Linked DNA regions of Styela clava. The protein of the gene in region 1 binds, or shares a complex with, the protein of each later gene. Links are inferred from orthologs where the notes say so. Each region holds a gene or a part of one and is shown on either strand. Other genes may lie near its edges.

Evidence for each region. The genes of interacting proteins can lie anywhere in the genome.
Region 2: the proteins of nuclear factor NF-kappa-B p105 subunit-like (region 1) and thioredoxin-like are in contact, whole or in part, in an NMR structure (PDB 1MDI), measured with the Homo sapiens proteins. The link is inferred for Styela clava from reciprocal best matches to the Homo sapiens genes NFKB1 and TXN. Residues at the interface, in NP_001158884.1 of Homo sapiens: Arg56, Phe57, Arg58, Tyr59, Val60, Cys61, Glu62, Gly63, Pro64; in NP_003320.2 of Homo sapiens: Thr30, Trp31, Cys32, Pro34, Met37, Ile38, Asp58, Val59, Asp60, Asp61, Gln63, Ala66, Ser67, Val71, Lys72, Pro75, Ser90, Gly91, Ala92.

What each region holds. Positions count from the first base shown.
Region 1 is NC_135256.1:16,831,472-16,839,350, forward strand, and holds the start of nuclear factor NF-kappa-B p105 subunit-like, read right to left. Parts: upstream 3,081-7,879; 5' UTR 2,942-3,080; coding exon 2,867-2,941; intron 2,403-2,866; coding exon 2,262-2,402; intron 1,906-2,261; coding exon 1,757-1,905; intron 833-1,756; coding exon 696-832; intron 26-695; coding exon 1-25.
Region 2 is NC_135257.1:18,245,250-18,251,302, forward strand, and holds thioredoxin-like, read left to right. Parts: upstream 1-4,169; 5' UTR 4,170-4,239; coding exon 4,240-4,560; 3' UTR 4,561-5,475; downstream 5,476-6,053. Other genes in the region: tyrosine-protein kinase Src42A-like, read left to right, coding at 5,576-5,699. UniProt on the Homo sapiens protein: Participates in various redox reactions through the reversible oxidation of its active center dithiol to a disulfide and catalyzes dithiol-disulfide exchange reactions.

The DNA.
Region 1 (7,879 bases):
GACCTGATGCGTTGTTTGTCTTCATCTAAATAAGATTTAAGATATTTCAACTCATTGCAGAATATTTGAAATTATACCAAAAGTAATATCAGAAACTTCATTAGATATCTGCAATGCAGAAAATAATAAAATACTCTGAAATACGATGTGAGAAACAGTCTTATTACAATTCTTTTCAGCAGGGGACAATTTATCAAGAAAAAGTTGGCATTCATCATGACTATTTCATGAATGGATCGAATGGGCAAATTCCATTCAAATCGTAAAACACAATTTTAGGAAACCAAACAATTCAGTTATTATTTATAATAATATAATATTTGTGAGCAAATACAAATTGCAGATGTAGAGTTTCCAAAACAAAACTAAGCCCCACCGCCACCACACACTGACCTAAAAAATTCATAGTCATTGTGAAATGGGAATTCCCACCATGCCAGTGCTCAAGTTATTTTTATACACAGATATGAAGCGAATTAAGATATTATCATGATTGATTTCAAACATTGATTTCTCATAATCAATGAGAAATGCAAGCGGCAATCAGACACAACTGGCATGAAGCATTGAGCATTTGAACTAAATAATTAAGCTGTTCTGATGTCCCTGATTCTAATAACAGGCGAGGTATAAATGAACAACTTCGATGTCATCAACAGCCATTTAAGGTAAAAATGAATCGAAGGAGATCGTACCCTTTATAGCATTTTGAATGTCCGCGGTCAATCCTTCATTGAGGGACGAGAGCTGCATTTCGGCAGCCAAGTATCGTTCTTCAAGAATTTTTGCTACATTTTTCTTCGTGACATGTTGTATCCCAAGATTGGGAAATCTGAATCATAAAAATGCAAATTTTTTTAATATAAAAATAAATTTTAATTGGTCATATTGAGGATGTCATAAAAGCAAAATTTACTGTTAATAATTGATTCTATATAAATAGAAAAGAATATTAAACGAAAAAATCGATAATTGAGGCAAAAAATCTATATATTCGTTTGAGCAAATGCTAAATTTAAAGTATTGAAATAGAAAGAAGATTTTATAATGAAATGTATAAATTAAACAACATTTCAATTCAAATTGAACCCCATTCTATCAGCACAGCATGAGGTGTGGTAAAGATATTCCGTCAGCATTTAGAAAACAAATATCCAAATATGGCAATTTACATAATTTATCTTTAAAATATTTATCGCAAAAAGATAAATCAAATTATATTCTTATTTAGTTACAACAACTTGATAGCAAATATAGGCTAGGCCTATTGAATTTTTGCATTTATATTATTTGTGAGAAATGACATGACGAAGTACTGTAGAACGTTGTGAAATGCTTATTATAATTCTGGTCTTTGGCCAAAATGATTCATGATTTGAATACTTCGAACATACTTCTTTTTATTGTATGCATTTGCCTCATTGTAACTATAACTCGAGTCTTAAATTTTAACTTGGTGTGTTCAAATATGATCTTGCCTAAGACTATGATTATTTTGAATCCAAGGCTCAATTATAAGCAATGAATTCCTATGATTTTATTAGGATATCCAAATTGAACAATGCTTGTCAAAACAGCACTCCTGATATTTATACCCTGTCGGCCTGTCATGTATTACGCCATGTTTCGAAATCATTTTATTACACCTAGAAAAATCCCCTTCAAATATGTAAGAGAGAAGGGAGGGAAAAAAGAGAGAAAGCTCTTCTGTCTGGAAAGAAAAAATGAGTGAAAGAGAAATAAGAGAGAAACTTACGTGGCAGTCATGTCTTTGGGTCCACACTGAACTGTACAGATGCCATTCTGACATTGTTTTCCAACCAAAGAGTGAGGATGAAGTCGTGGGTTCTCTTCATTTGTAACAAGTTGAACAACAATTCTTGCATATCCTGAGTGATTTCTTATCTGATAATGTTAGGAATTCAATTAAAAAATTAGAAAAATCCAATTATAAATAAATAGATAGTATAAGCTTAGCTGTTGGGCCATCAAATAGCACCGACATTAAAATGGAAATGTTTATATCAAATAACACACAATAATCTAAAACTTATATATCACAAATTTGCACATATTTTAAAATTAGATATTCCGATCATAATCATAAAATACAAGTATATTTGACAATATTCATGATTTTATTAGGTAGTGAAATTTTTCAGCTATTTTGTTTACAAACTAAATTCCTTATACATACCAACAAACACCCACACAATTTATAACATTGGATTTATTGACTGTAGCTATGGCATTAAAAATACCTGAACTGCAGGATATGTTTTCTTGTTTTTATCACTACTAGCCCCGGGTATGCCACCGTGGGATGGTCCCTCACAAGAATACCGGAATCTGAACCCTCTCGCTTTTGGGTGTTCGATAATGTCAAGAAACGGTTCCTGACTCTGAAAGAAGAAAAGCAACGCTTTGATAAATCATTAACTTACTATTTGACCAGTAAAGTAAACTGAGTGAGGCAATTTCTGAGCAAATTTATCATGATATCACCAATAGTATTTTAATTCAAACTACTGGTATAAGAGATGAAGCTAAAATCCGCATGACACACAATTTCAAAGTTCTCACATGGAATGACAATTTTTTTTTATAAATCTAGATAAATGCTATTGGGAAAATAGTTTTTGTTCCAAGTTTGAACAGCTTCATATTGACATGGTTATATTTTTTATGTATAACAAACTTTTTATTTTTGTTCATTAATGTCAAATGAATATGTTGCTTATGGTCCATCTGTATCCTCGGACGCAGGATCATTTTTAAGCAAGTTTAAATCTTTGATAACTACTTCACTATTGTTATGGTTTTGAAAATATCAGAAGATATTAAATACTCTTATAGATTCACATACCTCATCCGGATACATATTTATTGTATTTTCGTACTTTTGTTGAAAAGGTAGTGTTCGTTGAGGAGAGTGATACATCTAATAAGAATAACTTTCCTTCATATAATTTCCACAAAATATTTTATAGGATTATTGTAATAATAATTGTAATTATCCTAACGTAGTGACGACCAATATATTTACTTTACAATAATATTGTTCTGTTGAAAAATCAAGGATTATAATTTACTGATAATAGTTATGGTAGGTAAAATAGTACAAATTGCAAAATGGTGGATACTTAGGTGTTGCACCTTAGGACAAACCACATTCAAATAAAGGCATCTAATGAGGAGAATGTATAGACCTGTCACCAAGTGAGATATGGTATACAAGTAGAGCAAGAGTCATTTCATTGGTTTCGATTGAACACTAAACAAATTACAGCACTTCCTTATTCTATTAAAAATGTCCATATACATATAGCGTCATACTCAAAGGAAACGTTAATAAATGAATTCAAAACTGGTATATATCCAATATCTATATACCTCTTGAGTTCAAAATTATAGAGATGTTTTTTCCAAATTGAAGAACTTACATCAAATAAAGAAAAGTTTATGTACCAGTAAATATTACTTCAAGATATTTTAAAAAAATGTTTATTTCACCCACTACTAATAAAGTATACGCTCTACACTTGATATGTTTTTATTTCGGCGATATTTGTTAGTGCATTTCAATACTTCATGGTAATACTTCAAGCAATAAAAAAGCATTCATTTTTAAATTATAATAATAACGGAGATACATATTCAGAAACAATCTAAATAAATTCTAAATCTCAAAGAAATTGTCTTATAACTGAAATGTATAAATATTCATATATATTCAGGGGTTCCATTACATTTGAACCCACGTACATTTGAACCCATGACAATTGCACCTGTATGCTATTGCACCTATGGAATTTTTTTTGTTTCACGGATAGTTAAACCCATACTAACCCTAACCCATGGGTTATAGCACCCGCATATAGATTGAACCCGTGGATATACGCATGGGTTCAAATGTACGGTCACCATATTCAGGACACAAGTTAAATGAAATAAATTATGCAATAGATTCAGATTGACAATTTTTCGAAAATTGACACAATTACGCCGCAATGAAAACTTGGAATTCAAACACTAGTTTTTTAATATATTTATTTTCTATATATATATTATATTTAAACAGTTATTAGCTAATATAATAGTTATAATATAATACATTCTATTTATCATCTTAAATCAGGTACCCTATATGCTGTAATATTTATGAAGATATATAAAAAAAATTTAAACAAGAATACATAACTAGGCGAAAATTTTTCAGGTCTTCAAAATGAAATAATATCTCTCCAAAAACTGGCAAAAATTAGGACGCAGAATTTTAAATCACAAAACGCACTGATACAAAAGTTTCAGACGGTTTGTCATGATTGTGAAAAATACGATGCCAGAGGCATCAAATTTTTTAAGATAGGAAGCCTGAAAAACAGTTAGAAATAATATGGGATCTATAAAGGTAGAAATTTAGGATTGCTGAAAATTCATCTATTTATATTTTACTTCAAGATGGGGGTTTCTGAAAAACTTTTGAGCAAACTACTAGATATTTTTGAATTTTGAATATAATCATTACCCTATCTGAATAATTAGTATTCTAAAGCCCCATTTTTTAATTCGAATTCATGATGTACTCTAAAGTTAACAAATTTGAGTTTAGTATAAATTGCTGAAAGCAATTTAAAAAAATCGCTATCTCTTCGGTCATACCATTCTATGCTTCTATCATTCATTCTGTCATAAAAATAGCCTGATAATCTCCTATGGTATTGAGGTAATCACAATGTCTACAAGTATATTTGTCCCAAGAAGAAAAAGTAATAATAAATAAGTCATGAAATACTACTGAAGCACTCTTTATTGAACAGAAAGTATGACATCATATTTTCAGGTGACTGCCATATTTTTACTCATTTTTTTCTGAAAAATAAAAGAATGGTTCACCAGGGGAAAGAAAATGTGATACCAGAAAAAGGTTATATATATAAATGTGATCAATAATAACTTCTCCATATGGCTATAGAATGGAATGTCTATGTTTATATAGTTTGACGTTATAGCATTCTGTCCGCCACCTAATTAGTTTAAACAAATACATACGGTATATAAATATAAATTGGACCTCCTGAAGTATGCGTACCAAGATGGCCCACAACCTGAACTCAGGTGTGTACCAGGTTAGGGTTCAGGTTATGCGACATCTTGGTGCGCATACTTCAGGAGTACCTATAAATTTAACAAATATGATGAAAGTCCATGGCAAAAAACATATATAAATATATAGAGTGGCAAACATTTCATATTCAGCTGTAAAGTCTGATCCTACACTTAAACACTACACATTGAGTCATGAGAATGATGTCAAATTGCCAACATGAAAAATTTTGATTATGAAAATTTTTCTAAAAAATATTGTAAAATTTAAAAGTACATCTTACGAAAATAAATGTTATACAATATAGTTATTCGATACATTTTTCCAAAGTCTGCAAAGATATATATATATGAACAAATAAATAATAACACTATAATTTCACATATTCTGAATAGTTTTTAAATTTATATCTTCGTAGCTAGGATTATTTAATTTTGATGAACAAACATATCTTCTTTATTATATAAGTCTACATATTATGACACAAAAATGGACTCATCTGAAACCCTATGCGCTAACATAATATATGAACTGGTCACATTTACATTGTGAAATTTCACACAGAAATTTCCCAGAGATAAACAATAATAGTTGAAAAGGAACTACAGTGACATCATGAACAATATGGATAAATCTGACGTGTGTCATTGTTTGTAGAGGACAGCTTATAAATATAAGAATAATTTGACATCCAAAATATCTGATGTTCTTTATAATATTGATCCAATCAATAATTTGTTTAAGCAGACATTCTTCATTTTTGTATCACAACAAGATAGTTGCAAACTCTTGAATCCTTCTAACTATGCATACCTGTATTTTCTTACAGAACATCAAAAATGTACTACTCATTCCAACAATTAGCTAAAATTGTTTGCTTGATGTTTACAGGAAATCTTATCATCTCAACAATCAATCAGATACAGCAGGGGTATGCAACCTTCAATACAGGAGGGCCAGATTACCGTATACAAATACCTGAGTGAAATCGCTGGCAGTCCATTTATTTAACATAGGCTTTATAGTAGTTGCAGGCAAAAATTTTGGTCATTAATCTTATGGCATGTGTTGTTCACTTCGCACAAGCTAGCATTTGGCCCTCGGGCCAAATTTCACGAAATTTCAACATAACTTGGAAAAAATACACAGACAGAGAGATAACCTCGCACACAATAACCTAAAACACACTATAACCTTGTAATTGATTTTTTCATTGCCGCATGAATTGCCCCAACCTATCTCTTCATACAATCTAATGATTATGACATAGGGGATTCTCACAAAAGGGGATTCTTTAAATTGCAATGATACAAATACAGAAATAACTCATTGTCAAAATCTCGCATTAAGTTGTTTTGCTAAATTTTGAGCCACTGAGCACTGGAGCAATGATGTGTGTTCAAGTTCTAAGCAAAGGAACCAGAAAATATGCAAAAAAAAACTTTCTCTGTTGATAAACATAAGCTAATTTTATTAATACCGGTATTCATTACAGCACTACAGAAAAGTGTTGGCATATTCTGAACATTGAATTCATGGATCTTTAATAAATATAAATAGAGCAGTAGAGTCAGATAGCAGTATAGAAGACCCCTACTACATACAGACATTCTATCCTGCTATCTGACTATTTCAGTATTCTGGCAGTCTAGTCAACTTCTGACCTCAGAGAGTTTGTGGCCTGCTACCACTGTACCATGCCATAATACGTACAGTAATATTATAAAAACTTTTTATCCTTCAGCGCAAAAATAAATATTTAAGAATCATAACAACAGAAGTGTTGTCCGAAAACTGTCAGAAAAGATTACGTATCCGAATTCTAGCACTTCACAGTCTGACAGTTGATGCGGGATTCATATTTCAGTATTTAAAAGTTTGAAGTATTTTTTGCAGTCTAGTTGAACGACGATGAACAAATAGTCTAGTACCAATACCGTCGTTTAAGCGAAAACAGGTCGAGTAAAAACTGTAAACGCAATGTCTATTTGCGTCTACAGCCCCTTACCTGCTTACCCAGTCCATTTTTGAAAGCAACACCAGGTCGACTACCCAAGGCAGTACCGAGACCTCTTCCCTATATCTTCCCGTGGGGTTCCACCTCTAAACCGAATTATGATTGGCTGAAAACAATCACGTGCTATCGTTGCGTGATTCTATTTTTAGTAACACGGAAAGTACCAACAAAAGGAGATAACTTTTGGGCTGTGTTTCTGGCTGGCTCGTGGGTGTTGATTTTTAACACCGGCCAAAATCATTGTTACGAGAGTATAACTATATGTATAAATACGAGTCACATTGAAACGACAACACGTTCTCACGTTAAGTCAACGTTGTATCCTACAAACTACGACTTAATCGTGTGTTGTATCTATCTATAGACAACATTCACATCGGTATCACCATGTCCTCTTACGAGTTATTGCTGCAACGAGCTAGTACATTTTTGATTTTTTCAGCATTAAACGGCTTAGTAATAGTACTTTACATAGCTATGAATTACGTATTTATCCCGGAGGAGAGGAGAGTCGCCAAGACGGCTTAATCATATGTAGTGAATATTTATGAAGACTGGGCAGTGTGTGATTTAATGTTAACTCTTGTTCTTTATTTCATTTCAAATATTATTGAGTTCCGTCATTGTTTACTAAGTGTAACGAAGCGCCCAGACTCAAAAGCAATGTGATTGTCCTCGCGCCAACTACCTCCAACGTTGCCCACCAAAGTCCCATTTCTAGCCACAACAAACAACCTCGCACAGATTAAGGACTT
Region 2 (6,053 bases), on another chromosome or scaffold:
TTGTAAGCTGAGATTTAATTTTTTTAACTTTGTAGGTGAAGCAATGACCTGTGAATATGAGTGGTCATGGAGCACATTGTTAAATTTCTCCTGCACTGACCACTTCTGCTTTACACATGAATGAAATTTTCTTTTTGTCGGTGACTTTCGCTGTTCGTTGACCTGCAAGAAATTTTGATGATCATGAGCATGTCCCACTTTAGATGCGTTGAACCGAAGCATGTGGCAAAAAACGAGAATTTTGAAAATTTAGAAGGCATTTGTCGTAAAAAAAAATCTCTCACATCACATAAACAGATGATTTTATATAGTTATTCCGATAAACTAAAAATTAAAATACATAACAGATCAAGTCTATTACCATAAGCTAAAATACTAGGTATCTGCATGCTATAGTGATCTTAATTGCCTGATATATGAAAAAAACACCCATTAAAATATGTGACAGGATTTTTTGTCGCTCTGGGTACAACATTTAAAGTTATTGAGGATTCAATTTGTTGTTTATCTTATGCATACCTTTCTTAAATATTTTGGAAATGCTTTGAATCGGGTCGGAACAGCATTGTCCTTAATTCTTGTGCGTTGCCCGGTTCTCTTAATATCGCTCTCTTTAAAATGGTCAGAGCATAAACGTGAAGAACTAGTTGGAATCCAATTCGCCCTCCGCAAAGCAGTTACCCACTTCTCGCAAAGTGCCTTATTCAAAGGAAATCTGAGAAAAATATTGTTAATTATGTATGAGCAAAAAAGAACTGATAATCATTTCATGCAGTAAGTGCACAATTTATTCGGATTTGAGCTACTTGAATTGAAGCAGGCCAGAACCAGAATTTGGATTTAACATAGTCTATCTGTATAGTCAAAAACGCTCTTTTCTAGTCAATAATAGTTTTATGCGCTAAATTGTTGACTACTTTGTATGTTATAAACTTGCTGTCGCCTTCAGCCCAAATGATTTAAATGCTTATACAATTTTTCCAACAACTTTGACTAAATTACAACTTTACTACAAACTGACTTCTGACCTTATAGTTACAGAAGACGAGCCTCAATACTGTACCGAGACAGCTATACCTGTATCTGTATGCATTTACTCTAACATATATCTGTATATCATGATAATAAAACTAGCTTTATCTTTTACAATGTTTAGCAGGCTATGAACAAATTGCTAAGACACACACTGGCAGACAACTGAAAACTGATATTGTTAACACAAACTGCTGGGCTATTTTTCTTACTTATGAAATGTCCTTATTTTCGTTTCAGCACACTTTCCTCGTCATCATCTCCCTCGCTATCACTTCGAAAGTCCTTCTTTTTAAAACGTTTTTTGCAACCATATGCGGAGCACTGAGTACCAATACCGCTACTTTTTCCAATCATTTTCTCCGCCTCAGATTTTTTTGGCAATGCCATACCGTACCTACCTTTAGTTAAACTATTCCGTAACTATATCGTACTGTCAGCCTAAAATATAAAAAAAAATACTAACTAGCTAGTGACAAATACTAACCTAGCCACCTATACTTAGGGAAGTTTGAACGTAAATACCCAATTATGAAACTAGCAGCTTTTAAACACGAAAAACAAGCCAAAACCAGCGAACTACCCTACCAGCAGGAAGAAAGTTTGGAAGCATAAGTGCCAAGATGGCGGCGATCAAATTGTCCCGCGCAGCGACAACGCAAAACGAGAGAGAAGATCGTTCCATATATTTCCAGTTCAGTGGTACAAATGCATAAAGTCGGCGTAGCAAATACGATTATTTAATAAAAAATAAAAATCGCATGGAGAGGGTTAAAACCATGATATTCAAAATTCTAAAAAAATGATTAAAAATCTTGATCTAATTCGGAAACTAATAATAAAAAAAAAAATTATTCTATGTCAAGAAAAAAAAAATAGAGCAAAACTAAAAAATAGCATAAAAATTAAAAAAAAAAAAAAAAATGAACGTAGTCGCAGGCGCCATTACGAGTGACGTCGTTATACTTTGACAAGCTCTATTTCGTGATTGTGACGTCGCAGTGACGTAATTTTTGGATGCCGTAGCCAGGTGGGGGTTCAGGAGTGACATATTAAAAAAAATTGAGCAACGCCCACTAGAAGTATATGTGGTACTAAACGTGGATTTATGAGAGAGATCGCTGCCGTTAGTGAGTTCTTTATCGTCGGCGCAGATGCCATTTCAGGCGATCGTAGGCATACAGAATACGAAAATTCCGTTTGGCATTGGAATTTATTTGGCAAAAAAAAAAAAAAAGGTACTTTGGCAAGCTCTATGACAGTATGGCGTGATGGTGCCGTAATTTTTTGATGGCATAGTCAGGTGGGGTTACAGTACAGCACACTATCCAAATTCCAAGAATTTGGCTCAATAAAACAAACACTTCATGTGTCTCACAAACGAGGGGCCTCTGGGACCACGTCAGATGCTTCATATCATGCCGTGCTTGTCTCAATAATAATCTAAATTAATCGGAGCCGTCACATGATCAAAATTCCCATTTGGTCATTTGGTTTGGCCATTTGTCCAGACGTCTCCCCAAAGGAGGGGTGTCTGATCATCTGTAAAATGGGTTTCTCTGAAACGGGACAATGTCACCCGATATGTATAGTGTGCCGTACTGGGTTAGAATTGACATTTGCAAAAATCATTATGCTACGCTCACTAGAAGTACTTCTGTACTTGGGGTACAAAACTACACGAGACCCGTCAATCTTAACCCCCATCTGACTACGTCATCCAAGAATTATGTCACTACGACATCACAATTATGTCATAGAGCTTGCCAAATATACGTAGAATCGCCCGAAATGGCATTGGCGCCGACGATAAAGAACTGACTGGCGTTATCGATCTCTCTCCTATTGGAATCGTTGCGACAAGAAAACGAGAGAAAATTACGTCACTGCGACGTCACAATCACGATAGGAGAAAGATCGATAACGCCGGTCAGTTCTTTATCGTCGGCGCCAATGCCATTTCAGGCGATTGTACGTATATTTGGCAAGCCCTATGACGTAATTGTGATGTCGTAGTGACGTAATTTTTGGATGCTGTAGTCAGATGGGGGTTAGGATTGACATATCAAAAAATTGTTATGCTACGCCCACTTGAAGTAAGTTAGGTACGAAACTACACGAGACCCTACTTCTTCTTTGTTGTATGTATGTTGAAGTTGAAATTCAATGTTCAAAAGGTAATTTTATTATTTTAAGGGTATGTGATTTATAAAATTTTTCATTTTCGTGGTACTCTTTATTGCTATCAGTTTTCATAATTTCGGGTCAACACTTTTTTTATGGTACCTTTTCTAAGGTTTTGTTGCATAGTTTTAAATCCTAATAAAGTCCTTATAAAAATGTAGCAATAATATTTTTTCACAGTGAATTATGTACGATTGTATTTCAATTATTGGTGTAGTTTTTGAATGAGTTTATAATTTATTTATTTAACTTCTGATGTAAAAAAGTTACGGTAGTTTTCTGAGATACAGTCAACTTGTTTTTCCAAGATCATGTATCTTTGCTTCTTTTAGTAATTATCCAAACTCAATTACCTGAAATTTCTTCATAATACACTGCATTTTATATTTGAACTTTCAAGTTAGAATTCCCACGATTAGTCACTTATTAACTATGCGCATTTATGCAGTCAAAATTTATAGTATAATCTGAAATGAATTTACTTTTCCCTAAATTACTTTCTATACAAATAAGTTCCATTTTCATTTTACCTATTAATTTGCTAAAACTTTTTATGAAAATAATGCTGTTTGAATTGTTCACCTATCCTTACAAATTTATTTGTAAAAAAATTCAAAGTTTTACGATTGTGGTCAAATCTGGCTTGTGTGACAAGCTAAAAAAATTAATCTATACTGGAGCTTTTGGACTAGTCAAAATGAAATAAGGACCAGGCCAAATTCTTGAATATCAATTTTTTCAAATATAGACTTCCTTCAGAGGTCACAGCCATATTCGTTCTGTTGAATGTTTATATAAACCTACCTCGTTCAGTTAATATAGTGGAATGCTTGTGCGATATATGCAGACTGTCTTTTATTATTTTGCCTTTATCCTATATCTTACTGCACTGTATTTGTATTAAAGTACTGGTAATCAGCTAACACAAGTAGCTACCTTTTACTATCTTGCCTTCCTCATGTATCTTACTGCACTGTATTTTTATCAAAGTGATTAGTTAACACAAGTAGCCCAGCTGACAAGATGTCTGTAATACAATGTGATACAAAAGAAGATTTCGATAAGCAACTTTGTGATGCTGGTCAAAAACTTGTTGTTGTCGACTTCTATGCGACTTGGTGCGGACCGTGTAAAGTGATTGGTCCCAAAGTTGCAGCAATGAGTGGGGAATACAAAAATGCTGTTTTTCTAAAAGTGGATGTGGACGAAAATTCAGACACTACTGAAAAGCATGGAATAAGTGCTATGCCTACATTTCTGTTTTTCAAGAATGGTCAAAAAGTTGATGAACTTGTGGGAGCAAGTGAAGCCAAGCTGAGAGAGATGATAGAGAAGAATATTTAGAATCTTTTCAATATAGTTTTGATTTCCTGTAATTGATCCAATAGCGATAAATTATCCCAAAAATCATTTTGAATTCGGGAATGCACAATTTGTAGTCAATTTTAATATTTGTAGTGTTGTAAATTGTAATCTGAGGCTAATTTTTTAATACAGATGTACTCAGTGAAGATGTTACCTGGGTTTAAATAGTTGAATACAGAATTCCGATTTTGAACAAAGTTTGATAAATGTATTTATAAACGGGAATGGGTTTGATAATTTATTTTGCAGTTCTGATTTAAAAAAATTAGTTTTCTGCGATACAGTCAACATATCTCTTCAAGATCATGTATCTTTGCTTTTTTTAGTAATTATCCGAACTCATTAGAAACACGAATAGTCACACAATTTGCTTATGATGAAGTCAAAATTTGTTGCCCAATCTGGATTGAATTTACTTTCTTAGAATTTCTTCCTATATAAATATGTTCTATTTGCACTTTTCGGTATTACTTATTAAATTTGCCCCAAAATTAATGCAATTAGGCTTGAGCACCCATTCTGATATTTTACAACCAGTTTCTCGTAAAATTTGTAGTTTTACCCAATGCGGTCTAATCGAGCATGTTATATCATGATTTGCTAAAAAATATTCTTGAATATTAATCTTTTTAAATATGGACTTCCATAAAGCTCACATGCATATTTGTTCTGTTGAATGTTTATTCAAACGTTCTAGTTAATATAGTGAAATGCTTGTACGATATATGCAGATTATCTCTTGATTTTGCAAATTTTGATGATAATAGGGAATATTCAATATTGTGATAATACATTATTCAAATTTCAGTTTTTTCGAGTGACTATTTTTTATAAACAAATTTTCAGGTATTCGAATTGTAGTACTGACAATAATATTGGTTCTGTTTTATTTAGCTTCGGGATATTACTTTTAAAAATTGAACTTTCCATAACATGTGAAAACTTGTACGATATTCTGAAGTCGGGATATTTTACATTGGATTGAACAACAACCATGGGTGGATGTATAAGGAGGCTGATCGGCCCTCCACAAAATTCAAATACAAATGGAAGTAACCGGCAACCAAAAATGTCACAGGCATCATTTTCAAATATTCAACAACAACAACGATCTCAAAGTAAGAGACTACCAGAATTTTTTTTTTATTTATATCTGCTTTTTTAAATTTATTTATCAAATAACATATCGCCGGATGAGAACAGAACAGGCCTAAGTCACAATTTTGAGTTTTGAGAAAAACGCAAAAAACAATTTGGAATTTTTTTATTTTTGAATATCTAGATATTCACAATTAGTAAAGTCCTGAGCTCTGGTTATTTTAGTTTGGATGAGAATATCTTTGTAATCAATATTTTTTGGCACTTCAGCTTCAATTTCTTTCTGCTTTTTTACCTCCATAAGAGATTTAGGCCCATTCTGTTCTCAACAACTTCTGAAATTTTTTGTATGGGATGCAAAGTAAAAAAAGGTG